Linked DNA regions of Ovis aries. The protein of the gene in region 7 interacts with the protein of the main gene of each other region in a pairwise test. Links are inferred from orthologs where the notes say so. Each region holds a gene or a part of one and is shown on either strand. Other genes may lie near its edges. The genes, in order: UXT, TUBGCP4, ATPAF2, CCNG1, INKA1, PSMF1 and PAK5.

What was found.
Region 1: the proteins of PAK5 (region 7) and UXT interact in binary tests that used the Homo sapiens proteins (3 or more experiments, as listed by UniProt). The two-hybrid records come from large-scale screens. The link is inferred for Ovis aries from reciprocal best matches to the Homo sapiens genes PAK5 and UXT.
Region 2: the proteins of PAK5 (region 7) and TUBGCP4 interact in a two-hybrid assay, tested with the Homo sapiens proteins (2 studies listed by BioGRID and IntAct). The two-hybrid records come from large-scale screens. The link is inferred for Ovis aries from reciprocal best matches to the Homo sapiens genes PAK5 and TUBGCP4.
Region 3: the proteins of PAK5 (region 7) and ATPAF2 interact in binary tests that used the Homo sapiens proteins (3 or more experiments, as listed by UniProt). The two-hybrid records come from large-scale screens. The link is inferred for Ovis aries from reciprocal best matches to the Homo sapiens genes PAK5 and ATPAF2.
Region 4: the proteins of PAK5 (region 7) and CCNG1 interact in binary tests that used the Homo sapiens proteins (3 or more experiments, as listed by UniProt). The two-hybrid records come from large-scale screens. The link is inferred for Ovis aries from reciprocal best matches to the Homo sapiens genes PAK5 and CCNG1.
Region 5: the proteins of PAK5 (region 7) and INKA1 interact in binary tests that used the Homo sapiens proteins (3 or more experiments, as listed by UniProt). The two-hybrid records come from large-scale screens. The link is inferred for Ovis aries from reciprocal best matches to the Homo sapiens genes PAK5 and INKA1.
Region 6: the proteins of PAK5 (region 7) and PSMF1 interact in binary tests that used the Homo sapiens proteins (3 or more experiments, as listed by UniProt). The two-hybrid records come from large-scale screens. The link is inferred for Ovis aries from reciprocal best matches to the Homo sapiens genes PAK5 and PSMF1.

What each region holds. Positions count from the first base shown.
Region 1 is NC_056080.1:57,168,937-57,172,913, forward strand, and holds the start of UXT (protein UXT), read left to right. Parts: upstream 1-1,177; 5' UTR 1,178-1,244; intron 1,245-1,430; 5' UTR 1,431-1,439; coding exon 1,440-1,537; intron 1,538-2,526; coding exon 2,527-2,608; intron 2,609-2,741; coding exon 2,742-2,809; intron 2,810-3,075; coding exon 3,076-3,183; intron 3,184-3,843; exon of another isoform or gene 3,844-3,977. UniProt on the Homo sapiens protein: Involved in gene transcription regulation. Acts in concert with the corepressor URI1 to regulate androgen receptor AR-mediated transcription. Together with URI1, associates with chromatin to the NKX3-1 promoter region.
Region 2 is NC_056071.1:52,949,140-52,953,334, forward strand, and holds the start of TUBGCP4 (gamma-tubulin complex component 4), read left to right. Parts: upstream 1-1,395; 5' UTR 1,396-1,660; coding exon 1,661-1,738; intron 1,739-4,195. Other genes in the region: ZSCAN29 (zinc finger and SCAN domain-containing protein 29), read right to left, coding at 1-251. UniProt on the Homo sapiens protein: Component of the gamma-tubulin ring complex (gTuRC) which mediates microtubule nucleation.
Region 3 is NC_056064.1:34,270,626-34,274,746, forward strand, and holds the start of ATPAF2 (ATP synthase mitochondrial F1 complex assembly factor 2), read left to right. Parts: upstream 1-1,321; 5' UTR 1,322-1,493; coding exon 1,494-1,626; intron 1,627-4,121. Other genes in the region: GID4 (glucose-induced degradation protein 4 homolog), read right to left, coding at 713-901. UniProt on the Homo sapiens protein: Plays a role in the assembly of the F1 component of the mitochondrial ATP synthase (ATPase).
Region 4 is NC_056058.1:72,691,151-72,695,194, reverse strand, and holds the start of CCNG1 (cyclin-G1), read right to left. Parts: upstream 2,801-4,044; 5' UTR 2,796-2,800; coding exon 2,532-2,795; intron 630-2,531; coding exon 376-629; intron 1-375. UniProt on the Homo sapiens protein: May play a role in growth regulation. Is associated with G2/M phase arrest in response to DNA damage. May be an intermediate by which p53 mediates its role as an inhibitor of cellular proliferation.
Region 5 is NC_056072.1:50,476,862-50,480,391, reverse strand, and holds INKA1 (PAK4-inhibitor INKA1), read left to right. Parts: upstream 1-1,302; 5' UTR 1,303-1,416; coding exon 1,417-1,467; intron 1,468-2,185; coding exon 2,186-2,986; 3' UTR 2,987-3,030; downstream 3,031-3,530. Other genes in the region: UBA7 (ubiquitin-like modifier-activating enzyme 7), read right to left, coding at 3,311-3,422. UniProt on the Homo sapiens protein: Inhibitor of the serine/threonine-protein kinase PAK4. Acts by binding PAK4 in a substrate-like manner, inhibiting the protein kinase activity.
Region 6 is NC_056066.1:59,660,170-59,664,403, reverse strand, and holds the start of PSMF1 (proteasome inhibitor PI31 subunit), read left to right. Parts: upstream 1-1,434; 5' UTR 1,435-1,584; coding exon 1,585-1,713; intron 1,714-4,234. UniProt on the Homo sapiens protein: Plays an important role in control of proteasome function. Inhibits the hydrolysis of protein and peptide substrates by the 20S proteasome. Also inhibits the activation of the proteasome by the proteasome regulatory proteins PA700 and PA28.
Region 7 is NC_056066.1:2,412,651-2,416,150, forward strand, and holds part of PAK5 (serine/threonine-protein kinase PAK 5), read right to left. Parts: intron 2,651-3,500; coding exon 2,517-2,650; intron 231-2,516; coding exon 104-230; intron 1-103.

The DNA.
Region 1 (3,977 bases), on a different chromosome or scaffold from region 7:
AACATAGGAACTCTTTCTAATGACAAGATAACCTATCTTGGGCAGAGGACTTCAGCAACCCTCTATTTGACGCCCCAATTAAATGACGTGATCAGCCATGAAATTAAAAGATGCTTTGCTTACTCCTTGGAGGGAAAGTTATGACCAACCTAGATAGCACATTCAAAAGCAGAGACATTACTCTGCCAACAAAGGTCCGTCTAGTCAAGGCTATGGTTTTTCCAGCGGTCATGTATGGATGTGAGAGTTGGACTGTGAGGAAAGCTGAGTGCAGAAGAATTGATGCTTTTGAACTGTGGTGTTGGAGAAGACTCTTGAGAGTCCCTTGGACTGCAAGGAGATTCAACTAGTCCATTAAAGGAGATCAGCCCTGGGTGTTCTTTGAAAGGACTGATGCTAAAGCTGAAACTCCAATACTTTGGCCACCTCATGAGAAGAGTTGACTCATTGGAAAAGACTCTGATGCTGGGAGGGATTGAAGGCAGGAGAAGAAGGGGACGACAGAGGATGAGATGTCTGGATGGCATCACCGACTCGATGGACATGAGTTTGAGTGAACTCCGGGAGTTGGTGATGGACAGGGAGACCTGGCGTACTGCAGTTCATGGGGTCACAGAGTCGGACACAACTGAGTGACTGAACTGAACTGAACTGATTAGACATAGTGCGTTATCAACCTCTGCTTGAACTCCAGTCATGGACTGCGGGCTACAGAGCTGGAGTCGTCAAAGGTGCATATCAGAAAATTTGTCTCCTTTTCAAAACTTATGTTTAATGCTGACATTTATTTCCATTATTGAAAGTCAAACCCAAGCTTCCCTTGTGAAAACTCAAAATCCAGGGCGATGCAAGGATATACTTTCCTTTTTACAGACCACATTCATAATCTTTTCTTGCCCGGCTGCTTCTGAAGCTCTGACTTTTAAACACCAAAAGCTGTACTCGCTCTGTGTGTACCGCCACCTCCGGCACCCGCCAAATCCCATTAAACCCCACCCCCAGCAACAGTGCACTATCCCCATAGGCTTGTTGCGCAGTCCAGGTTCCCACGCTCTTCAGCCTTTCTTAATCAGCGGATTTCTTAAAGCCCCGCCCTTTCCTTCTCTCCGGCGTTTTTTTCCGTTCAGGACTGCCTCACCCACCCTGGTTATTTGGTTGGCCAGCGCCCCCGCCGTACGTCATTTACCCGCGCCACCCGGAAGCCACGGTTCTTACTAACACTTCTTTTTGCCGGCGGCTTTCAGGTAACGGCAGCGCTTGGGTGTCCCTGTGTGATGGGGTCCCAGAGCTGGGAGGGGCGGAAGGCTGAACCCTCGGCATAAGCCGGACGACTCAACTCCCAACACTGAAAAGGTGCAGTTGCACTGTGCTTGAGACCAAACTGAGACCAGTGGTCTTCAACGTGGTCTTTCTCCCTCCCCATTCCTCAGGAGCCCATCATGGCGACGCCCCCTAAACGGCGGGCGGTGGAGGCCACGGCGGAGAAAGTGCTGCGCTACGAGGCTTTCATCTCTGACGTGCTGCAGCGGGACTTGCAGTAAGTGACAGAACGGGGGGCGGAGCTATTGGAGCGGTCCACGTGGTGAGCGGGGCGTTCGAAGTCAGGGCCTGGCCTTCTGATTGGTGGGTGAGGCGTTCAGAGCCCGGCCCCGTGCGCCATTCGAGGAGGAAGGAGGGGCGATATCCGGGGTGCAGCGTCGGGTGAGGAGGGAGACTTGGTGATTTAATGGTGCCTGTGTACGCGCATGCGCGGCTTCCGATGACCTTAAAGGGTTAAGAATTAGAGTTCTGAAGCTGGAGTTTTCAGGTTCGAATCCTGGCTTGACCATTTTGCTTTCCGTGTGAATACATACTTCGCCTCCACTTGCTGTGCCTCAGTTTCCTCATCTGTGAAATGGGGAAGTTAATGCAGCCTTCCCCACGGCAGTGGGTTTGTGTTTTCAGTGTATTCAGTCCTTGTAAAGGGTTTAACTTGGATACTAGAGGCTCAATGAGTATAAAAAATTATTATTACTATCATTATTAATCAGAGCAGGAAGGAGAGTGTTCAGGTCTAGGATTATGAGCTCCTAAAAGAGATGGAGGATTTTTTTCTAGGGTGAGAATGTCATATTCTGATTGGAGGGAGGCATTGGGAGTAGAGTGTAATAATACTTGTAAATAAGAGCTAACTCATATAGAGAAATTTGTTTGGAGGGCACTATTCTAAATGCCTTATAGTAAATACTCATTTAATCCTCCTAATGACTCTATGAAGTAATACTCCTCATTCCTATTTTTAAAATGGGGAAATTGAGTTCCAAAGAGATTACTCACTTGCCAAAGTCACACAGCTAGTAAAATGGAAAGCCTGGATTCAAACCGAAGCAATCTGACCCAGAGGCCAAACCTTGACTTCTGCACTAAAATTCCTGTTTAGACTCTGGTGACAGGAGAGTCTCAGGGGTTCATGGTGTGAGATATTCCAAGAGGGACAGGGTTTCCTCTTGGTCACCATTTTACTCTTGTCCTGTCATGTCCCATCAGAAAGGTCCTGGACCATCGCGACAAGGTATATGAGCAGCTGGCCAAATACCTTCAACTGAGAAATGTCATTGAGCGACTCCAGGTAAAGATGCCAGGGTTAGGTAGTCTTTTTGTGGGCAAAGGAGGGGGAAGAGAGGAGATACCCAAGACCAAAACCTGTCACCTGACCTAAAAGTTGACCACTGATCCCTACCTCTTTTTCCCTGGCCCCACAGGAAGCTAATCACTCGGAGTTATATATGCAAGTGGATTTGGGCTGTAACTTCTTCGTTGACACAGTGGTGTGAGTATCTACCTGCCCCTCTGAGCCCACAGGGTTCAGCTTCCCTTTTCCTTCATTCAGCAAATACTTTTGTTAGTATTTGCTATGAACCAGACACTGCTCGGTGCTGAAGATGTGACAGTAAATAAAATAGGACAAATTATCTGCCCACCCTGACCTTCAGTTTGGGGAAGGTGGAGGATGGGGAGTAAAATAAATATTAAACTGTGTAGTATGCTAAACAGTGACAAGGACTTCTCCACTTCTGATCACCACTGTTTCCTTAGCCCAGACACTTCACGGATCTATGTGGCCCTTGGATATGGTTTTTTCCTGGAGTTGACACTGGCAGAAGCTCTCAAGTTCATTGATCGTAAGAGCAATCTCCTCACAGAGTAAGTCCATTGCATGAGGATACTGTCTAAAACAACACCATTTGTAACATCCTTCTTCCCCCTTTCACCCTGGCTACCTGGGATGGTACCTAGGAACCACTTTCCCCTCTCTCTAGGGGAGAGAACAGTGGGGATGCAAAGCTTAGCCCCAGGTGTAGCACATAATAAGTACTCAATAAATGGTCTCTGTATTGTTCACTCACACAAAAACTTATTGGGCATTTGCTGTATGCCAGGCTCTGTGCTTGGTGTTGGGGAGGCAGTATGAACAAGACAGAAGAATTCCTTGAAAGCTTACATTCTACAAGGGCTATAACTATTACACATCAGCACAGTTTTGACCAGATCCTGGAGGTCTCAGCCTGTAAATCAGTAACAGTAAAACAAGTTACCTCTGACTTCACCTTCTGCTAATTTTCCTGCTCATTCACTGTGCTCTCATCACATTAACCTTCACAGGCTTCTTTAAATGCCCACAAAGTGATCCCACCTCAGCACAACTGCAGTAACTGTTCTCTGTCTGCCTACAGCACTTTCCCCCCGATATATGCATGGCTTCCTTTTTCCTTATTCACTTGAAGTCTTGCTTAAATGTCACTTCCTATAACCTAACTTGAAAATTGCAACCCTTGCGCTCCTGATTCCCCTCCCTTGTTCTACTTTTTCTTTTTTTCTGTAGCACTTATGACCTCCTAATGTTTACTGTGTGATTTACTTTTTTATAATGTTCATTGCCTGCTCCCATTAGGATATAAGCTTTGCAAAGGGAGAGATTTTGTCTACGTCTCAAGTCA
Region 2 (4,195 bases), on a different chromosome or scaffold from region 7:
CTTTCTGGACATTGCTTTTGTACCCAGTTCTGGATCTCCCCAGGTAGGACGGTCAGGAACTGCTCTAGCACCAACAATTCTACAATCTGCTCCTTGGTGCGCACCTCTGGCCTTAGCCAACGACAGCAGAGTTCCCAGAGTTGGCTGAAAGCCTCCCGGGGCCCAGCCACCTCCTGATAATGAAACTTCCTGAAGCGCTGTCGGAAGGCCTCAGAGTTAGAGCCATTCCCTCTCAGGGTGGGTTTGGCCATGGTTCACAGCAGGAAGCAGCTTCCCTTCACTTAAAGGTCTAGGTTCCAGGGCTTAGGCCCATCTTCCCATGTCCTTGGGGAATCACCTGCAGATGAGTCTGTCTCTGTAAGCAGTTTCCTCCTAGGGCAGAGAGAGATGGCACTATCAGAAGGAATGTATGTCTAGGGTCTTGCCAGAGCTGGCCTGACTGCCCATATGCTCCAAGTGGTCATCTGAGGTAGCACCAGCTTCAGGTCAGGAAGTCAAAACAGCCTGAAGGTGAGAGGCCATTCAAAGGCTGCATCTCTGGCCGACATCCAGGGCAGCCCGGAGAAGCAGCAAAGGATAAAAGTACTGTCTACTCTTCCGCCGCCCCCAAATCTGACCCATTGAGCTCCCCTAACCAGTGAGTTCGAACCATTTGGGAGACCTGGAGCTCGGAAGGTTCTAAAGGCAGGTCACCATTCTGCTGAAGGTAACAAAGCCTCTGTCCAGCGGGTAGCAAGCTGCTCTCCACTGTCCTTCCCCAGGCCCTCACAGCCCGCCCCGCTCCCTGAGACTCCACCACTACCAATTCCCACCCCAAACAAAAATCAAGTACTAAATACTGGGTCTCTGTTTTCCCTCACAGCAGAAGTAAGCGCTCAGTAAACATCCGGGAACTACTGACGGGAAACCTCGCGCATTGAGAGAAGTTGATTTTGGCTCCTGAAGCGAGGTCCGAGTGGGTTTGGGGAGAGTCACACTGAGTTGGTGGAGAGAGGAATTCCGAAGGGGCAGTAGTCATGGGTCTCCTGAGGACGAGTTCGGGTGGTGGGCAGGCGCTCCGAGGGCTGCGAGGTTCGCGAGCGCGGAGCTCAGGTCTAGGAGCGGCGGGTGCGGGGTTCCGGCCTCTTTGTTTTCGTTCCCTCCGGCCAGGTCACTCGGAGCCGTCATGAATCCCTCCGGAGGCCTCCGACCGGACTAAGGCGCCCTGAGAGCACCCTGTGGCCCACACCTGAGAGCTTCTCCCACTCAGGCTATCGCTCAACCCGCTCGCATCTCTGCCCACCGGCCAGCCTCACCCAGTCAGGGTCTGGCTCCAGCCCGGGCTCGCCAGCCTCCCAGTCCAGCTTCCAAACCGGAAGTCCGAGTGGGTGCCTCGGGAGCCAAAGGCGCATGCGCAAGGGCAGCTCCCGCGACTCTTGCGGGGCACCGGCTGCCGCCGGCGAGGGGGCCCAGCCGAGCGCGGCGCACTTCCGGGACGCGGCGCGCCGGCTGCTTTCCGTCCGGTCTCCCCTGCAGTTGTCTCGGCGGGTAAAGTCAGGAGGAACAGTGCGTCCCGGAGACCTGTGCGCGCATAGAGAAGGGAGCGCTCGCCTCCTTGGTCGCCAGCTGAGGCCCTGGAGGAGGGCGCGACGGATATAGGGACTCGAGGTCCGCCGTGGGAATGATCCACGAACTGCTCTTGGCTCTGAGCGGGTACCCAGGGTCCATTTTCACCTGGAACAAGCGGAGTGGCCTCCAGGTACTATCCGGCTCGGAGCGCGGGAACTGGCGAGCTCGGAATGGGTGGACCCGAGCCAGCGCTTGGGAGGAGGAGTCTGAGGGAGCAAGAAGGCGGGGCTGGCAAGGACCAAGGCGTGGGGGGCGTATCCCTGGACGGGTAACCTGAGGGCTGTGCCCTAGGGGCTTACGGATGGTTTAGACACCTGGAGAGGGTTGGGCCTAGGCGGAAAGCGAAGGGTGGATCCCTATTGGTTCTGCCTTAGGGGAGGAGGGAATCCCGGACCAGGCCTAAGGTTGAAAGTGTCTGGGCGAGAGTTGCTAGAGAACTAGATGTAAAACTGAGAGAGGCCCTTTCTCCCATCTTCATGCTTGCACAACGTTTTAAACTGAGTTTTGAAAGCTAGACCAAATACACAGTGCCTAATATACAAACAGTTCAGTTCAGTCGCTCAGTCATGTCCGACTCTTTGCGACCCCATGAATCGCAGCACGCCAGGCCTCCCTGTTCATCACCATCTCCCGGAATTCACTCAGACTCACGTCCATCGAGTCCGTGATACCATCCAGCCATCACATCCTCGGTCGTCCCCTTCTCCTCCTGCCCCCAATCCCTCCCAGCATCAGAGTCTTTTCCAATGAGTCAACTCTTCGCATGAGGTGGCCAAAGTACTGGAGTTTCAGCTTTAGCATCATTCCTTCCAAAGAAATCCCAGGGTTGATCTCCTTCAGAATGGACTGGTTGGATCTCCTTGCAGTCCAAGGGACTCTCAAGAGTCTTCTCCAACACCACAGTTCAAAAGCATCAATTCTTCGGCGCTCAGCCTTCTTCACAGTCCAACTCTCACATCCATACATGACCACAGGAAAAACCATAGCCTTGACTAGACGGACCTTAGTCAGCAAAGTAATGTCTCTGCTTTTGAATATACTATCTAGGTTGCTCATAACTTTTCTTCCAAGGAGTAAGTATCTTTTAATTTCATGGCTGCAGTCACCATCCGCAGTGATTTTGGAGCCCCAAAAAAATAAAGTCTGACACTGTTTCCACTGTTTCCCCATCTATTTCCCATGAAGTGATGGGACCAGATGCCATGATCTTCGTTTTCTGAATGTTGAGCTTTAAGCCAACTTTTTCACTCTCCTCTTTCACTTTCATCAAGAGGCTTTTTAGCTCCTCTTCACTTTCTGCCGTAAGAGTGGTGTCATCTGCATATCGGAAGTTATTGATATTTCTCCTGGCAATCTTGATTCCAGCTTGTGTTTCTTCCAGCCCAGCGTTTCTCATGATGTACTCTGCATATAACTTAAATAAGCAGGGTGACAATATACAGCCTTGACATATTACTTTTCCTATTTGGAACCAGTCTGTTGTTCCATGTCCAGTTCTAACTGTTGCTTCCTGACCTGCATACGGATTTCTCAGGAGGCAGGTCAGGTGGTCTGGTATTCCCATCTCTTTCAGAATTTTCCACAGTTTATTGTGATCCACACAATCAAAGGCTTTGGCATAGTCAATAAAGCAGAAATAGATGTTTTTTTCTGGAACTCTCTTGCTTTTTCCATGATCCAGCGGATGTTGGCAATTTGATCTCTGGTTCCTCTGCCTTTTCTAAAACCAGCTTGAACATCAGGGAGTTCGCGGTGCACGTATTGCTGAAGCCTGGCTTGGAGAATTTTGAGCATTACTTTACTAGCATGTGAGATGAGTGCAATTGTGCGGTAGTTTGAGCATTCTTTGCATTACCTTTCTTTGGAATAGGAATGAAAACTGACCTTTTCCAGTCCTATGGCCACTGCTGAGTTTTCCAAATTTGCTGGCATATTGAGTGCAGCACTTTCACAGCATCATCTTTCAGGATTTGAAACAGCTCAACTGGAATGCCATCACCTCCACTAGCTTTGTTTGCAGTGATGCTTTCTAAGGCCCACTTGACTTCACATTCCAAGATGTCTGGCTCTAGATTAGTGATCACATCATCATGATTATCTGGGTCGTGAAGATCTTTTTGTATAGTTCTTCCGTGTATTCTTGCCACCTCTTCTTAATATCTTCTGCTTCTGTTAGGTCCATATCATTTCTGTCCTTTATCGAGCCCATCTTTGCATGAAATGTTCCCTTGGTATCTCTAATTTTCTTGAAGAGATTTCTAGTCTTTCCCATTCTATTGTTTTCCTCTATTTCTTTGCATTGATCGCTGCAGAAGGCTTTCTTGCCTCTCCTTGCTATTCTTTGGAACTCTGCATTCAGATGCTTATATCTTTCCTTTTCTCCTTTGCTTTTCGCCTCTCTTCTTTTCACAGCTATTTGTAAGGCCTCCCTAGACAGTCATTTTGCTTTTTTGCATTTCTTTTCCATGGGGATGGTCTTGATCCCTGTCTCCTGTACAATGTCACGAACCTCATTCCATAGTTCATCAGGCACTCTATCAGATCTAGGCCCTTAAATCTATTTCTCACTTCCACTGTATAACCTTAA
Region 3 (4,121 bases), on a different chromosome or scaffold from region 7:
AGAGACTACAAAGGAAGCCCTGACATGTGGATCAAAGTTAAAAATACAGTAAGAGGGTCCCCTAGAGCCAGGAAGGAGGAGAACAGAGAGATGGGGAGGTCTGGGCAGACAGATGGACAGAACAGGAGTGGACTGGAAGTGGAAAGAGGGTGGGGAGTAGGGAGTGTCAAGAGTCTGAGCCAGGAAGAGACTATGGGTTGGGGGCTAGGAGATCAGCTTCTAACAGACTGTGAGGAGCCCACTTAGGATGTGAGTGCCCAGGCTAAGGAATGGGCCAGCAGTCCAGGTGGGATGGGGGCCCTCAGGTCCCGGGGCTGATGGAGAGAGGAGGCGGATGAAGCTCTGCCGGGGAGGAAACCCCCGGAGAAGGAGGCGGGTCCCAGGGCCTGGGGTTCATGGGACCGAGGAAAACGTGGGAGGCAGCAGGCACGTCTAGGGCCTGGGAGCGTCCAGAGTCAGAGGGAATCCCTGGAGAGTTTCCCGGACGGGGTCCGAGAGGGACTGAAAGAAAGACTGTTGCCGGGGCGACAGGCCACGGGGAGGCAGGGCCGGATCTGAGGCGGCCGGTCCCCGGCTCGGGCCCGCAGGGTTGGGGTGCGCCGGAGGGCCCCCGGCAGGCCCGGGCAGCAGGCCCGTCCGTGGCCGCGGGCCCCAGGGGGCGGCGGCGTGGCCCGGTCCGTGGACGTCTCGAGAGGCCGGGCCGCCGGCTCACCTGCAGCACTACCTCCACGTCGTACGAGTTCCCCTTGCTCTTCTGGTGGCCGCGGAACTTGGAGCCGCTGTAGAGCAGGCTGGTGGCCACGCCGGGCTGCTGCGTGTTGATAGGCGGCGGCGGGATGAGCGAGGCGGCGGAGGCGGCCGAGGCACCGGCCGGCGGGGGACACTCGGTGCGGACCGGCATCGCGGGGTCCCCCGGAGCCAGGGCTGGGGGAGGGGGAGGAACCGCCGCCGCCGCGCGGAAGCCGAGGGCAGACGGAGGAGAAGCCGGCGCGCGCGTAGGGCGGGAGGGGTCCACCCGCCGGCCGCAAGCAGATCGAGCGCTCCGGCCACCACCGGGACCCCGGGACCTGCGAGCAGGGCCTCCGGGTCCTGAGCGAACCCCCTCCCCGCCTGCGCTCGCACACACACCCCTTCCGATTGGCTCGGGCGCGCTGAGGGGCGGGATCAGGCTGGCTCGGCGATTCCGCCCATTGGCGGGCGGGGAAAGCACGTGGCGGGAGCCGAGGCCCTCTGGTACTTGTAGTCTTTTTCCCGAGGCGCGGCGCGGGGGCGGGGCCGGGGCGTTTGTGATGCTGATTGGCTGCGGCGTGCGCTGAGGCGCGCGGCGGCGGCGCGCTACGAGTGTCGTGCGCAACATGGCGGCGCCCCAAAAGGGAGAGGGTGCCGGCGACTGGTGAGGAGGTTTGTGGAGTTCGAGCACACGGCGTGTGGTCCCTCCGCTCCTTTTCCCCGAGCTCTGGTTTCGAGCGGTCGTTCTCTGAGGCCCCCGCGCGATGTGGAGGAGCTGCCTTCGGCTGCGGGATGGGGGGCGTCGCCTCCTGAACCGGCCCCGAAGTGGCCTCACCGCCTCCGAGGGGCTGGGGCGAAAGCCCCCTATCCCCTTCCGGGCCTACGTGCCCCCGGCAGGTGAGAGAGGCCAGGGCGGAGCAGGCTGAGGGGTCGGCCATGCAGGGTCACACGGTGGGAGGGAAGTTCCCCGCGAGGGCAGGGATCGCTCCAGGGCACACGCGCGTCGTTTCCTTTTGGCAGGTGCGGTTTTTCTCTCTTTCACTGGGGAAGCAGAGGTCATCCTTATTTTCAGGCGGGGAAATTCGACTTCTGGGTCGGGATTGCGCTAGAGGCGCGAAGCAGACTCAGAGGTTTGCGGGGCAAAGGCCAGTCTGCTAGGCTGCTTTCTGTGTCCCCGCGACCGGCACTGAAGGGGCCTGAAGCTCGGGCTTTAAGTCTTCCATCCCGGCCGCTTGCTCCACAGCTGTCCTGGCCCTGCCTCCTGCTGCCCTCCCAGAACACCTGCCACCTCTTCTAAGGAGTTGACACCCCGTGCCCCCTTCCTGCACTTCCGACTCGGATGAGGCTTTCTGTAGCGGATCTTTCTTACTCCTAGGCAAAGATTTTGGGATAAGAGTGGGACTGACTTTAAGTGAGTGAAGACAGTAACGCTTTCTTTCCTGCCAGTTAGTACTGTGCTGAAGGTGGGGGTGAGGAGAAGGTCACTGCGGTGTTGGAGCTGTTCCGAGGTCGCCCGTGTGGCCTCCAGTCCCCTACCAGCTGTCCCAGCCATCAGCTGCATAGAGAAGAAAGGTCTTCAGAGAGCCTGCCTGTCCAGCTGAGGAGTACACCGGTGAAGTCAAAGCTGGGGGTCTCTGCTTACAAGTTGTCTTGTCTGCACAAGTGGTTTAGCGTCTCATTGTCTGCCTCCTCTAAAGAGACAGCTTGTGCTGGATTGAGGGAGATGCTGTAGATAGGGAGGCCAGCCTGCCACCTGTTTTTGTAAATAGTTTTCCAGGAACCCAGGCCCGCTCATTCACTGACACACACCTAAGGCTGTTTTCACTACAGTGCAGAGTTGGCTGGTTGTGCCAGACACTGGATGGCCTGCAAAGCTTAAAACACTTTGGCTTTTTACAGAAAAAGTTTGCCAGCAGTGCTGTGGATGCTAGAGCGGTTTTGGGGAAAAGTGTTTAGTCATCTGGCCCGTTTATAGTAATTGCTGTGGTAGATACACTTGCCCTGAAGAATTTTAAAACAGCCTTACTGAGATGATGCATTTAGAATTCACTCACTTAGATTGTACAGTTTAATGGTCCCTAATGGCTCAGATGGTAAAGAATCCACCCTTGTTGCGGGAGACCTGGGTTCAATCCCTGGGTTGGGAAGATCCCCTGGAGGAAGGGCATGGCTACCCACTCCAGTATTCTTGCCTGGAGAATCCCTGTGGACAGAGGAGCCTGGCGGGTTACAGTCCATGGGGTTGCAGAGTCGGACATACTGAGCGACTAAGCACAGTATACTCAGAGTTCTGCTGCCATCAGTTCTGGAACCTTCTTATGACACCAAAGGATCCCTGTACCCATTAGCTGCCACTCTGAGTATCCCCCTGCCCCACCCCATCCCTCCAGCCCTAGACAACCACTACTTCACTCTCTATGAAGTCAAGTCGCTCAGCCGTGTCCGACTCTTTGCGACCCTGTGGACGGTCGCCTACCAGGCTCCTCCCTCCATGGGATTCTCCAGGCAAGAGTACTGGAGTGGGTTGCCATTTCCTTCTCCAGGGGGTCTTCCTGACCCAGGGATTGAACCGGGGTCTCCCGCATTGCAGGCAGATGCTTTAACCTGTGAGCCACCAGAGATCTGTATCTATAGATTTCCCTATTTTGGACATTTCATATAAATGGAATGTGGTCTTTTTCTCCATTTAGCGTATATCCAAGGTTCGTCCTGGCTTCCCTGGTGGCTCAGACGGTAAAGCATCTGCCTACAATGCAGGAGACCCTGGTTCGATCTCTGGGTCCGGAAGATCCTCTGGAGAAGGAAATGGCAACCCACTCCAGTACTCTTGCCTGGAAAATCCCATGGACGGAGGAGCCTGGTAGGCTACAGTCTACGGGGTTGCAAAGAGTCGGACACGACTGAGCACCTTCACTTTCACTTTCACAAGGTTTGTCCTAGAGTTAGCGCATGTCAGTACTTCATTCTTTTTCATAACTGGTAATATTCAGTTTTGGGGACACACCATGTCTTATTTACCCAGTCAGTCATTGATGAACATTTGGGTGGTTTTCATCATTTGACTGTTCTGAATGCCTTTGTAAACACTTGAATACAGGTTTTTGTGTGAGAATGTGTTTTCGTTTCTCATAGGAGGTACCTAAAAATAAATAGGACGTCCCCAGTGGCTCAGGGTTAAAGAATACACCTGCAAGGCAGGAGACCCGGCTTTGATTCGTGGGTCAGGAAGAGCCCTTGGAGAAGGGAATGGCAACCCACTCCAGTATTCTTGGCTAGAGAATTCCATGGACAGAAAAGCCTGGTGGACTGCAGTCCATAGGGTCACAAAGAGTTGGACACAACTAAAGCAATTTAGCACACACGCAAGAGCAGACTTGCTGGATCAAACGGTA
Region 4 (4,044 bases), on a different chromosome or scaffold from region 7:
ATAATTTGCGCCAAAAAAGAAAAATTTATTCTACAACTACCAAGGTTTCTTTTCATTTTAATAAATCTGTTTTTGAATTGAAAGTCTCTTTTTCCATAAATTCGTGTTAGATGCTTGCCTATTAGGTTCTGTAAGTTAACTAGCCTATAAATGGAAAATGTAATGTTAAAAAATTTACCATCTTAAGAATTCAATGACTCCAAGATGCTACTTTTGACTGAATGTCTCCTCACTTTTGCTGGAGAGTAAAGTGAAACTCAAGGGGCTTAGCTGTCATTTTACTTGATTGAAATTCTCCCAACATACTGATTTTATGTAACATCCAGACAATATTCTGGTTTCTACATCCCTTTGTTGAAAACAAAGCTCACATACCTTTCATGTGGCACGTTCTCTTGAAGGAGTGAATAATAGAGCTGTAGAAACTGAAAGGCAGTAGTAGCTCTGACTTTCCAACACACCTTCTCCAATACAATCTTCTCCATTCTCATCAAGTCTGAAACCGTGAACCTGTACTGGCTTATTCGGATCAAGTCAGTTGCCAGTGGGACATTCCTTTCCTCTTCTGTTGATTTTACAGCCAAATAGAAGCAGCTTAGTCCAACACACCCAAGGTGCTTGGGCTGTACCTAAAAAGACAATAAGTCCATCTCTACTTTATTTCATTTAAAAAAAAAAAACAAAGTATAATCAAACTCAGACCCATCACTTTGAAAAATGTATTTGTGAGGTGAATTTCTCAGTGGCAAAGGACTTAGCAAGATTCACTGATGCCTCAACTGCAGGCTGTTAGCCATATGCACCCACTTGGAACCAATTTCTGAGTAAATCGAGTAAGTTTCAGTGTACTGTTTGGCTTCAGCACGTAAAAATTCTTAGTTCTTTTGGTTTTTTAAAATCAAGGAAGAATGATAAGCAGTAAATTACTTGGTCAAAAACTTATATGAGGATTGAAATATCTTACAGCTTATACACAAAGTTTCTTTTCAGAATGTTGTGTTTTTCCAGGCTGTTTTCTCTGTAGTAATACTTGTGAAATGTTTTTAAACTGTGACATATACTGTTCATTCTACCTGTGAAGCTCTATCCACTACCAAGTTTTTAAATTTATCCATCATTTTCTGAATGTCCACAATCAAAATTCTATCCAGTTCATTTAGAAAACTTAATTTTGGCTGTGCTGGGCCTTCCTTGCTGTGCGGGCTCTCTCTAGCTGCGGAGAATGGGGCCTGTTCTTCACTGTGGTGTGTGGGCTTCCCCTTGTGGTGGCTTCTCTTGTTGCGGTGCACGGGCTCCAGGGTGTGCGGCTTCTGGGGTCTAGACCACAGGCTCAGCAGCTCTGGCACAGGAGCTTGGTTGTCTGGCCACGTGTGAGATCTTACCAGACCAGGCGTTGAACCCCAATCTCCTGCACTGGCAGGTGGATTTTTTACCACTGAGCCACCAGGGAAGCCCTCTATCCACTTTAAGTTGTAGCTCAACTGAAGCTTTTAAAAGCTTTTACCAATATTTGGGCTCTCCTCTTCTTAGAACCGCTTCAGCAATATATTTATATTTCTTTTGAAGTATAATGTAATTCTTTTCTTATTATTCCTTGTACTAATGATAGTTATAAGTGCAAACATTACTCCTACCAAGATTATAATATACTTAAGTAACAGATGCATGTCATTCACCTATGACACATTTAGAATTAAAGGTAGTGCCTACACATGGTGTCTAAAAGAGTTATTTAATTAGACTGTTGAACAAGTTTCTTGAACCATTCAACAAACATTGAGTTCTTTCCCTATATGTTGCATTCTGTTAGGTACTTTGAATAAAACATGAGTTTCATTTTAAGTGTCACATTATCTACCAACAATCATGGACACAGAGAAGTCAGATATATTTTTAATAATTAAACTCTGAAAGCTACACAGATGTCCTGCTTAGCCAATACAGGGTAACAACTGTATATCTCCTCCTTCAGAAGATACTCTCTACTATATGCAAACGTAGGCTGGAAATGCCAAGCATAGGCATGACTTAGGTAAATGTAAGGCTAAACCAGTTGGAACTTTATTATATATGAACAAAGATCAAGAAATATACTCTATTGACCAGGTGGTAGACAGCATGAACAGAAAGGAAAAAAAAAAAAACCCTCTAATTTTTAACCCACAATCTAGCATTCTGCCTTTAACACATTTCTTTAAAAACAACAGTAAACAAATGAAAATACCCAAACTATCAAACAAGACTTTTAAAAACAGCCAGCTCTCCTACTGGGAGGCTTTGCAATGATTTGATATTAGACTATTATTCAATGTCAGAAGTTTAATAGCTGATGCATTACTCTTGATTAAAAGGAAGAATATTCATCATGCTATAGTACACAGAATTACCACAACGTTTTGGTTACTTGCTGAAGACAAACCAAAAAAAAAAATGGTCAAGTTATAAATACCAGCCCAAAGCTGGCAATACCATCTCGAAAACACATTGAGCAAAATCACGAAATACTCAGGGTAATGCAGCTTTAAACATACCTTCATTTTAGACAGGAATCTGTCCAGTAAATTCACAGCTAGAGAAAATGTCTCCGTGTCAAAGCCAAAGAACTGAGTTAGACTAAGAAGATCTTTTACTTCAAAGTCCCTCAGTCTCGCAGTCATTCTAAGGCCATTATCATGTGCAGATTCAATTAGTCTCAAGCCGCAGACCTTTGGCTGACATCTCAACTCCTGTTCCAACAGGGCATTCAGCTGGTGTAGCAGTTTCTGAGAGTCAGTTGCTGTCAGTACCTCTATCATCTATATATAGAACAAAGCCCAGAAAGGAGTGAAAGAACAGCCCTTCCTGTCCTGCCAGGTGCCTTATAACACAAGCCTCCCCTCTCTCAATGCTGTTAGTGAATCTCAGTCATTGCCAAGGGCCATCTGTTATTCTCCCCCTCCCCAACCAGTTGGTTACATCCATCCTAAATTGTGACTTCCTACACGGCCTTTTCCAAAAAAAAAAAAAGCTAATCTTCATGCCCAAACTTTGAAATTAGAGGGTAGTATGTATTCTGTCGCTTAGTAACAATGTTGGCTATTCAAGTTAGTCAATTTTTCTTAGTCCTCAGTTCCTAATATGTTAATAGGTTATTAGCCATTTCATAGACTTATGTAAAATAAAGGTAAAGAATCTGCTTGCTATGCAAGAGAAACGAGTTCGATCCCTGTGTTGGGAAGATCCTGTGGAGAAGGGTATGGCTACCCACTCCAGTATTCTTGCCTGGCGAATTCCATAGGGTCGCAAAGAATCGGACACAACTGAGTGGCTAACACGTTCAGTTTCAGGTACACAGGTATCTAGCACATATAATAGGTGCCTAATAAACACTTGGACAATATTAATAAGCTTATTTATAGTCCGTAAAACGAGGCAATATCTGCTTCTTTAAATGGCTGTTAGATTAAACGAGATGATTCAACTAACGAGTTTAGCATAGTGCTAGGCACTTGTTAACTTTTATTAATGTTATGAAAGGAAACTCAGGTGTTAAGAGCACACGCAGTGGGGACAGGAGGCTAATCCATCCTGCAAGAGGAACCTGGGAGTTTCATTAATTTAGGGCAATACTGAACGCCTACTATGCCCCAGGCACAGGATACATGGACAGTCCCAGCCCCCAACAACCGAAAGGCAAGAAGCAGAGCATCTCCAGGGTTGAGCGACGGAAGAGGTGGACAGATGTGGAATCACAATCTCCATGGAACCAACTTTTTCGCCCCCGGGCTGGTGCCTGGGACCACGCCAACTTGACATTAAGACGCCTAGGGAGGTCTAATCTGGCCCCGCCCCTCCAGGCTCGGACTAGCCTGAACTTGTTGCTCGGTCTAGAGTTAACCAAGGAAAAGGGCGCGAGACGAACCCTCCACCCCGGCCCCTTACCCCCACCCCGCGCCCCCAACCCTGCTCCGTAGCTGCACCCTGCAGTCAACCCCGAAATCCCAGCTCACCTTGATCGCGACTGCAGCTCCTCAGCGGTAACCACCCTCCCCGGGCCTGCTCTCA
Region 5 (3,530 bases), on a different chromosome or scaffold from region 7:
CCTCTGTCCACATGTCCACAAATGGCCATTTGATTTTCTTCTCCAAGACCACTCTTTTCCAGTCTTGCTTGGTTGATTCGTACCAGTTCCATCCAATCAGTAGTTCAGCCTGGAAGTCTAGGAGTCATGCTTCTCTTTGTCTTCCCATACTCATGTATCAGCAAGGCTTGATTTTAACTCCAAAACATACCTCAAAGTATGTTTGCTCTAGACCTACCCAGATCCAGGCCCTCCCTTCCCTTGATGGATGAGGCAGGAGCCTCCACTCTTGACAGCAGAGTGGTTCTCCCAAAGCAGCGATTATCTAAACAGCAGCCAGCCCAGGTCATTACCTGCTCAAAAGCCCTCTAGCGCTCCCCACCACACCAAAAACAAAACCCTTTATTCCCTTCTAAAATGGCTAGGAGCCTGGTTTTGCTGACCTCTTCAGTCCTCTCCCCCTCCCCTCAACTACCACCATGAGAAATATCTAGGCCTTCCCTGGTATTTTCCTGTCTACTGACTTATCTAGTTTGTCTCCAGTTAGTCTGTGTCGTTGAACCTAGCCCTAGCCACCTCAGGGAACGGCTCTAATCCTTTGGTCAAAGAACTCCCTGCGGTAATCCCCTGCATTCACTCAGCCTGCCTGTAGTCCGGGATAGACAGGATGCGGGTGTTGGGAATCCCCACGAGAGGGCAGCCCTGCTTAGCTCGGCCGAGGCAAGAGACACGGGAGTGGGAGGCTGGGCCTCGGCCGGGGCTCCTCTCCGGTGCTGCAGCGAGGTTCTGCGCTCCCTGAATCCTCGGAGGGGCCGGACCCCTCCCATGACTTCCAGGGACGGTGGAGGCCAGCTCCAGGAGCGGATTCAGTGGGTCGGACCACGAGAGGGCCACAGCACTGCCGAACCCGACGATTGGGCCCGATCTACCCGCTCAAGGGCGCAGCCGCGGTACCCGTGACCTCCAGAGACCCCGGCGGGAGGGACCACAAATTTCCCCTGGGAATAAATGAGGAAACTGAGGCTGCCGCAGGGGTGCGACTTGTCCTGGGAGTCAGCTCAACGGCCCGGGACTACGGGGACTCCCGGGCCGGATCCCGCCAGGTTTCCAGCTACAGTCCCGCCCTTCCCCATAAGAGCTGCTTCTAAGGAGTGGGTAGTGGGCGTCAGGCTCGCCCACCCGGCAGGGCCCCGGGGGTGGAGCCACACCAGCCCCGCCCCAGCCCCATTGGCTGAGGCGCCAGGGGCGGGGCGGGGCCGCCAGATGTTGGGGCGGCGGCGGCGGCGGCGGAGGCAGCAAGAGCTGGGGAGAGGGAGGAGCCGCGGAGCCAGGCGGAGGGCAAGGGCGCCGCTGGCCGGCCCCCCGGGCCCTCTCCGCGCCGCTCTTGCTGGAGTTTGAAGAGGAACTGGCAGGCCTGGAGGGGGCTGCGGCACGGACATGCACAGCGCTCGGCTTGACAGTTTCCTGGGCCAGCTGCGCTGGGAACTGGTGAGGCTTGGGGGCGGGCGTGGCTCGTGAGGACTAGTGTGGGGTGCTCGGCTGCCTTCCTACCCGAACGACACTCGGATGGGGGGGAGCTGTCCCGAGTGCCCATCCAAGAGAGGATGGGGGCGGGGCGGCGTAGATGGCCCAGATGGCCCGCGTCGGGTTTCGGACGATTGGGAGCTGCGCTGGGCATCAAGTAACAGCCGCCCAGCTGGCCGTGCTGCTGGCGCAACGCAGGAAGTTGTGGGGGAGAAACTTCTTGGGCAGAACAGGGGCTTTTACGGAACGAAAAAGGTGGTGGGGCTACTACTGATGCCCCTTATTCCAGGCTGGCGTGTACCTCTTGTCTTCCTGGAAGGTGCTCTTTTCTTCTCTGAAAGAGGCTGCGGGCTTTGGGGAGCTGAATCCCTCAAGAGGCACAGGGTTCCCCCCCAGCCCTGAGCAAGACCTACTTCCCCATGCAGGCCCACAACCCTGCCTCCCGCCCTGGTGGCGGGTACCAACTTGCCCGGCTCTGCGTGCTGCAGCCTGCCGGACTGCCATCAGGTCGGCCAATGGGAGCCACACGAGCTTCGTGTGCCAGCGCCCCATGCCGACCTGGTGCCCGCTAGAGGCCTTGCTGCTGAGGCCTCCTGGGCCTTCTGTTTTGGAACTGGCCTGATCAGGCAGGGCGGAGTGACCAGCACTGCTCCTACCACTTCTGCCCTCTCTTCTTCCACAGCTGTGTGGCCGGGACACTGGCTCACCCCCAATGCCTGGTCCCCTTCCGCCACCCCCCAAACACCGCCCAGGCGTGCGGCTCAAGCACCAGCTCAGGGCCTCAGATGCGTTGGAAGAGGACTCGGTCTGTGGTGTGGAGGAAGAGGATGACGAAGTAGGGGTGACAGGAGACAGGAGTGCAGCCTTTGGGGGCCCCAGGGAGCACGGCCTGGACTGGGACTCTGGCTTCTCAGAGGTGTCGGGCAGCACATGGAGAGAGGAAGAGCTGCCCGTACCCCAGCACCCAGCAGCCTCGGCATGGCCCCCCCGGAGACAGCGCCTCTCAACCAGTGGTGTTGCCCAGCCTAGCGGAGCGCCCATGGCCCGGGTACCACCTGTCCACCGACCACGGCCCAAGTCCACCCCAGATGCCTGCCTGGAGCACTGGCGGGGGCTAGAAGCCGAGGACTGGACCACAGCCCTGCTGAGCAGGGGTCGTAGTCGCCAGCCCCTGGTGCTGGGGGACAATTGCTTTGCGGACTTGGTGCACAACTGGATGGAGCTGCCCGAGGCAGCGGGTGAGGGGGACAATGGGGGTGGGCCCCGTGCGCGTGCTCGGCCCCCCCAGTTCCTGCTGGGCCTCTCTGAGCAGCTGCGGCGCCAGCTAGCCAGGGCGCGCCGGGCAGCACTGGCAGGAAAGCGACTGTCATGCCCACCTCGCCCAGAACCCGAACTACCTGCGGATGTCTCACGCTTTGCAGCCCTCATGAGTTGCCGCAGTCGGCAGCCCATCATTTGCAATGATGTTGTCAGCTACCTCTGACCCTGCCCTCCAGCCTGGGACAATAAAGGCCTTTCTCTGGACAATCCTGGTTCTGTACCCCTCGAGGCTCCAGGAGGCAGCGCCAGCCCTGCAAGGCACAACTCAGGCAGGCGAATCAAAAGAGCCTTTTCCCTCCCCTGCAGGGGTCCTTGTCACGCCTGTGTCACACGCCATGTGTCTGCTCCATCACCCGTCCTGTCCACTGAACACCTTCCTTCAACAAGTGTTTATTGAGTGTCTGCTGTGGGCTTGGGACGCAGGGCTCGGGACGCAGGGCTCAGGATGCAGGGCCCGATGGAGCTGGGCGGTGGGGCTGCTGCCTTGTCACAGCTTGTAGTGCAAGCGTGGAAAGTTAGTGTCATACTCCTCGCCCTCATAGCCAAGTTCCAATACCAGCACCCGCTGCCCAGGCTCCTTCTTCACCAGCTCTGTCACCCTGGCGTGGGGGGAGGGGGTGGGGAGATTGGATAGGTGAGTGGTGACACAGAGTGTCCTGGCATGGGCTCCAGGGTGCTGGGGGGCCAGAAGGAGCCCAAGCTAGGAG
Region 6 (4,234 bases), about 57 Mb from region 7:
GGTTCCTGCAGACCAATGGGAAGGACTTACTTTTCTTTTGAGTGTGATGGGAATCCCAGGAGGTTTCAAGCAGAGGAGAGATGTGATCTGGTGTGTATTTTAACAGGATCTCTAGTTGCAGAGTGCAGAACAGACTTTCAGGAGTCAGAGATGGAGTAAGGCAATTTAGTGGTTGGTGCAGACATTCAAGTGGGGGATGATGGTGGCTTGCAGGAGGGTGGTGACTGGGACCGGAAAACTAAATTTATCTGAGTAAAAACAGTAAGTGGTACAAATCAGGAAGAAGACAGTCAAATAAATGACTGACATTTGGAAGTAGATCAGCTCTGCAGTCAGCTGTTGCGTCTTCTTGGGGGAAGCAGCTTCCATTCTCCAAGTGAAAAGTGAAAGTGTTAGTCTCTCAGTTGTGTCCAACTCTTCGAGACCCCTGTGGACTGTGGCTCGCCAGGCTCCTCTGTCCATGGGATTTTTCAGGCAGGAACACTGGAGTGGGTTGCCATTCCTTTCTCCAAGGGACATTCTCAACCCAGGGATGGAACCCAGGCTTCCCGCATTGCAGGCAGATTCTTTTCCATCTGAGCTAAATTTGCAAAATGGGAATGATAATGGAACATATTTCATAAAACATTTGATAGAGTGATATGAAGTTTTTCACCCAGGATCCAGCACACAATAAATAATTAATATTCAAAGAGCCAGACTGCTAGATTGCAGTACCATCTCTACTGTTCACTCATCTTGGTCAAATACACTCTTCTGTGTGTGTTTGTTGCTGTTGTGTAGTCCCTAAATTGTGTTCTACTCTTTTGCGAACCCATGGACTGTAGCCTACCAGACACCTGTGTCCATGGGATTTCCCAGGCAAGAATACTGGAGTGGGTTACCATTTCCTTCTCCAGGGAATATTCCGGACCGAGGGATAGAACCTGCCTCTCCTGCTTGGTAGGCAAATTCTTCACCACTGAGCCACCTGGGAAGCCCCATGTGTCTGTTTACCCATTTGCCAAATGGAGCTATCAAATACCAACTTTATAGGGTTGAGTCTTGAGGATTAAATAAATTAATACAAGCAAAACATTTACAATAACGTTCCATGGAGCAAGCACTGCATTAAGTGCCGACTATTTCTATGAATATGTTTTAATCTTATTTCATAATCTCTTCTCCTACCAGCATACACCCACCCTATTTTGCAGAAGTCTGTGACTCAAAACAAAGGTAGCCTCTCTTCAACGATGCCACAACCTACGTATAGCACACCTACCACCTACAGAGAAGATGGAGATCCCAGCTTTGAAAGACCTCGCTCCCAGGGGTCCTGCCCTGCCCATGTTCTGCCTGGCGGAACCTTTAAGAGTCTTCCTTCTGTTTCCAGCCGGGCGCTCTCGTAAGGGAGCGCGGGAGTTGGAAGTTACTTCCGGTGGCCACACCTCCGCCCCTGGGTGTCTCCATTTTGGTCGCGCAGGTTGACATTAGACCACGACCTGCGGAGTAGCGGAGAAGAGTCAGGAGTATTGTGAGGGCCCTGTCGGCTCACCGCACTTTCTTCCTCCCTTCCTCCGCCCGCAGAAGCCAGGGTCGCCCATGGCTGGCTTGGAGGTACTGTTCGCGTCGGCTGCGCCGGCCATCACCTGCGCGCAGGACGCGCTTGTCTGCTTCCTGCACTGGGAGGTGGTCACGCACGGCTACTACGGCTTGGGTGCCGGCGACCAGGTACGCCACGGAGCCAGGGTGGCATGGGACCATTGTGGAGGCGGGAGGCGTCTTCTGCCCGAATCCGGAGAACAGAGGCCTGGTCCAGAGTGCCCGACCTTCCCCCTTCGCAGGTCCGGGCCCTGAGGCTCATGACACCTTTGATACCTGTAGTCTGCGGCTCAGGGAGGTGCTCTACTGTTGCATTCTAGCTGGCACAACATGATTTGAAAACCCTTGGTCAGAAACGCCCTCCAGCACCGGCTGGCGTTCTCCCAGGCTGAGATTGTGCCCTCTGGCACCGAGACGGGGATAATGAGCTCCCTTGAGCACTCCTCACCTACCCGAACCCCACCGAACTCCTTCACAAGCAGCTGGGTGGGGAGAGGGCTGTATTCAGTACCACCCTCCTACTGTACTGGAGCGTTCACCTGGATCCAAGCACCATATAGAGGGACACCAGTATAGGGGAGCGCTTGGACTCAGCTCCAATCAAGAGCAGAGGGCTCGACACCCTTCACTCTATACTGCAGGGCCCTGTGCTGCCCACTCACCGTTGTCGTCTTGAACTCAGGCTCCAGGCCAACAACCGCCTCCCCAACATGCACCCACATGCATCCTGGGTGTGAAGGCCAAGTAAACTTTCCTTCACCATAGCTGTCCCTACAGTAGCAGCCTCTCCTGCTCATTCTCAGACTCTGCCTCTTACAGCTGGGGGCCTTGTTGCAGGCCCCACAGAGCCCCAGGACTGCCGGGGCCAGCCTGCCTCACTTGATTCTTTGCTGTAGCATTCTCCCATCTTCCCTGCCCCTTCCCTGCGACTCTCCCTCGCACTGTCATGGTACACATCAGCTTCCTGTGAGCACTGACTTGGACCCCTTCCTGCACAGATCCTGTCAGCGGAGACACTTTGACAGCTTAGAGACCTCAGTCCGTGTGGATCATTGCCTGCTCTTAACCGCCACCTTTCCCCTGTCGTGTACTCCAGGCTTCCAGGTTTTAAGAAAGAACATGATTTGGTCTAAAAAAAAGATCCCTGACTGAATCTCAGAGGTGCACACTGTTTACCTTGCCACGTGTTGAGTTAATGCAAAACAAAAAGTTGCTGGCTCCAGACCTCTTGGGGGAGGCCCCAGGAGAGTGCAGATGGGGCTCTGGAAAGCATTGCCCACTGTCCATCTGTCCACCCCAGTGTTAGGTCAAGCATGTGCCCCTGGGGGATGGGTGTTTGTGTTGTACACTAGAGCATGGTGTATTTCTGCTTCTCTCTGCCCTTAAATGCTTCTGGGGCTCAGGTTGTGCTTGTCCTCCTCTCACTTCTGTGTTTACTTTCATTCAGAATAGAAGCCTTTTGGAGGAGTATCTTTCCTATTAGTTTATTCAGGAGAGGTTTTAGTTTTCCAGCATGGGGCCAGCAGACTCAGCTGACACCAGCAGTGTTTGCAGAGTTCAGAGACTGTTTGTCTGAAGCTCCACCCTTCTAGGGGTGATAAGAGAGAGAGGAAGGTCCTAAAATTGTCTACTTGATCATTTACTATGTTGACAGTTAAATAGAAAGCTAAATTGTCTCCTTTTGTCTTTGGTTCTGTATTCTCTCGTTCAGGAAAATTGTGTACATAAAACTTGATTAGAAGAACAATGCATTTTCAATCAAAAATTCAGTATGGAGTTTGGATTTCTCTCTTGAAGTCAGCACCACACCTCGTAAGAACTTTACAGCTCTGTCAGGTGGTTTAGGTGGCCAGGGAATAGAGATGGCCATAGGCTTGAGTTCGAGGATTTAGTGTTTTGTTGTAGGAATCTAAAGATTATGACAAAAGAGGAAAATGCCTGAAACGATCTTTTTGAGACACATTTTAGCCGAGGGATACTGGGATGGACTCACCTCCATTAAAGAATACTTCCAGCCCCAGGATTTTGCCTAAGGGGACAGCTATTTTTACTTTGTGAGGTGGGCATCTTTAGCCATAACACAGGCAACCAGGAGCTCTGAATGCCAAACCCAGCTCTGCACCTGACTTACCATGACCTTGGGCAAGTGTCAGCTCCCTCTTGTTGTTTAGTTGTTAAGTCATGTCCGACTCAGCTACCCCATGGACTGTAGCCTGCTGGGCCCCTCTGTCCATGGGATACCCCAGGCAAGAATACTGGAGTGGGTTGCCATAGCCCCCTCTTAGCTCTTAGATTGTTTTCATCCAAGCCAGTTAAACTACACAACTATGTACTTTGGCTACTTTCCAGTTGTAGCTCTTTGGGAGGTCTGATATTGATGTCCTGGTCTAGAAGGCAGTTGAATGCCATGTTTGATTTGATATCACCAAGGCCAGTCTCTTTTCAGTCCCACCTTTTTTCCAGTATCAGGGCAGGCACTGAGCTGGGGAACACTGGTTCTGCTGCAGTGAGAGGTATCAGCCGCGCCAGACCCCAGTAGTGTCTCTTGCTCTGGAAGCCAGATGTTACAGGGCAGTGAGCAGGCCCAGTTATATATATTCCAAGAAGAAATTCTGGTGGGTTGAATGCTGTACATGGAGAGTATAAATAT
Region 7 (3,500 bases):
ACTTATGGAAAGTCAGAGTTATGAGAAAGTGCTCTTGGGAAGATAATACCAGTGACAGAAGTGACAGAGCAAACTGGGGAGGGACCGAACCTGAAAACCTTACCCGGCCATCGCTTGTCAGCAGGATGGAGTCACTCTTTATGTCCCTGTGGATCACTCCTTGGTTGTGAAGGTAGGAGAGAGCTCTCAGAACGGACAGACAGACAGTAGCTATCTGCTCTTCATTCATTCTAGAAAGGAAATCACATTGAAGGAGCTAGGTCAGGTTAAGACCATCTTTGAAATGATTAAGAGAGGTAGCTCCCTTGGGTTCCAGTGAACCAGTCCATGCTCCCCAGTCCATGTCTGGAAAACCTACAGGGAAGGAAAAGGAAGTCTTTGGGACCTGATTCCCAGAACCTAAGGCTTAACCCTAACGATGACAGGGGCCAAGTATAAACTAAAGGAAAGGGAGCCCTACTGGCTGGTCTTTGGGTCATTAGAGCAACTGCACTTGCTTGGACTTTTACAGGTAATTCCCCAGGTACTGACACAACGCCAGGGTCTTGTAGAGAGGACACATTGAATGGAGCTATATTAGTTCCAGGAACGGTTCCTAGGTGATCTTGAGGAAGTCCTCTAATGTCCTTGGGTCTCTTTTTCCTCATCTTGGATATGGGCATGATCATGGTTCTCCTCTTGGACTTCCCTTGTGGCTCAGCTGGTAAAAAATCTGCCTGCAACGTAGGAGACCTGGGTTTGATCCCTGGGTTGGGAAGATCCCCAGGAGAAGGGAAAGGCTACCCACTCCAGTGTTCTGGCCTGGAGAATTCCATGGGCTATATAGTCCTTGTGGTTGCAAAGAGTTGGACACAACTGAGTGACTTTCACTTTCACAGTTCTCTTCAGGCTTCCCTGGTGGCTCAGATGGTAAAGAATCCACCTGCAATGTGGGTAAACCTGGGTTCGATCCCTGGGTTGGGAAGAGTCCTGGAGGAGGGCATGGCAACCCACTCCTGTGTTCTGGCCTGGAGAATTCCATGGACAGAGGAGGCTGGTGACTACAGTCCATAGGGCTACAGAGTGACCAGGCACACTTGCACGCACACACGCACGCGCGCACACACACCATCTGTCTGTATCTATATCCATGTAGGGCTGCTGTGGCCTCTGGCTGTACTAATAGGAATCTGCCAGCTGAAATGCTGGTGATAAATGCTCAGTGTCTTCCCTAGCATCGTTTTGTTTTCAGCTGGTCTACCGCTGACTCAGAGCTGTAGGGGGTCGTGACTGAAACACTGCCTCATTACAGTGGAGAAACAGCAGAAACTCTGCCCTCACATGGGTTCCCAATGCTTTCTTGCTATCTTGCTTCCCCTCTATTGTTGCTCACTTATGATTTGGATGCCATTTCAGTGACATCTGATATAACTCCTTCATGACAATCCTTTCAATTCTTTGGCATTTTATCTACCAGAAGAGCAAACTTAAAGTTTCCTAAATGTACATGATTTTTTTTTTTAACATATATGTTCCTTTGAACCTTGCTTTTCCAAGCATGGTCTATGAACTAACAGCATTAGCATTGCCTGGGGGCTCCTTCGAATGCAAAGTATCACTCTATTCACTATTGAATCAGGATCTGCATTTTAATAAGATCCATGGGTAATTTGTATGCATATTAAAATTTGAGAAGCACTGTTTTAGCACGTACTCTTTCATTTGCTTTCCATGCCCTTTTCTTCCCACTGGCCTTCTTAGTAAACTCCTATGCAGCTCTCAAAACCCATCTTGGACATTGCTGTTTTTCAAAAATATTTCTTGACGCTAATAAAGATATTCAGGTGATCTTCTATGCTACTCATGTACATCTTTCTGATTCTGCACAGGTGTTATAATTTTTTTTATTTTGTACCCCCAGCATTTAGGAAAGAGTCTGGCACATAAACAGTGATTAATATGTACTTGACGAAATGAACACAAGTGGCATATCAGAGAAGCAAGCAGCTGAGGCAACAGGCGCAATTAGCCATCGTTACTTGCAAGGCGATTTGAAACAGAATTGAAGGATCTCTCTCTCTCTCTCTCTCTCTCTCTCTCTCTTTTATGTAGTTTATTGTTAAACTACATAAAACTTTGCTCTTTCACCTGCCCCTGCCTTTCCCAGATACCTTTGGTAGTATCAACACATAGCAAATGGCCTAGCAGCTCAGAAGAATCAAATTCAGTTTTAGAAATCTTCAGTGGGATGGGAAATTCTATTATTTATCACTTAAACTCAATTCTCAGCAGCTTGCTGATTTAAAATCGGTATCAGTGAACTCCTAGAGGGCAGGGAGAATGTGAATTGAATGAATGAACTATACATACATGATATTGTAATAGGCACCTGGGAATACAGAAGTAAGGGCAGTCATTTCTCTGCCTTCAAAGTGCTTACAACTTATGAAGAGTTCATAGAAGCAGTTACTAAGGTCTTACCCTGGGGAAGAATAATAAGCATCGTGAATTATTTGTCTGGATAATAAGAAACTTACCTGGTATGAGTAACGATGTCTGTCAAGGCACCACCTTCTAGGAATTCCATGACCACCCAGAGCTCATCACTAACAAGGTAGCTGTTGTACATGTCAACCACGTTGTCATGGTGATAATCCCGCATTATCACAACCTGGGCAAAATGGAAAGACACTATTTGACTTACGAAGGTGAAATTAAGCTTTTTGTTTTCTTGTGACTACATCTGGGCTGTGAGTTTAATGATAGAGAAGTAATGATGGGGAGGGAGAGATAGATTCAGAAGTCTATTACAAATAAAGGAGCAGTGCTGGGAATTGCTGGTAGGAATAGAGGTGACGTTAGCAAAGTCAGAGAAAACAGCAGGTCAGTGAGACTTGGGAAGAATCAAGAATAAAGACAGGCAGAACCATAGAAGGGTCTCCATTCACAAGAGTGAGGTTAGGTGACTATTCTGGGGGATGCGATCAGATTTCTCAGGTTGCTCTTAAAACCCACTGTGCATGCTCTGCTGTTGGTTAACTGGGCAAAAGGGTCACCAACGCAAAGTAACTGAGTCTCATAAGTGAATGAAATTAACAGTCATTAGGGTTTGGGCCTCCTGAGACCAATTTAACTTCTTGGGAGGTCTGTGTTGAGTCTGAAACAGTTTGGGCTGAATACAAAGGATAGGTCTTGAAGGTAAAAACATTAGGATTTAAGCATAAAATGTCAACTTGTGTCTGCTTGCTAGAGAGAACATCCAGGAATTCCTGTCCTGGGGCTGCTTGTGGTGACACTTTCAGAATCAGTATTGAATAATAAATTATACAGTTATTTATCTAAGTTCATTTGTCCCGTCTGTTCCGGCATTGCAATTTGGAAATAAGTTTCAGAAATCAGGAGCTGTGGATCGGGAAGAAGCTGGGTCCCACTGACCTGGTGCTGTCTGTGAGGTCAGGAGGGTGGGAAAGAAATGAATGCCTATGGGAGGTAGAAATGCACGGAGCTACTGGTGGCTTCGC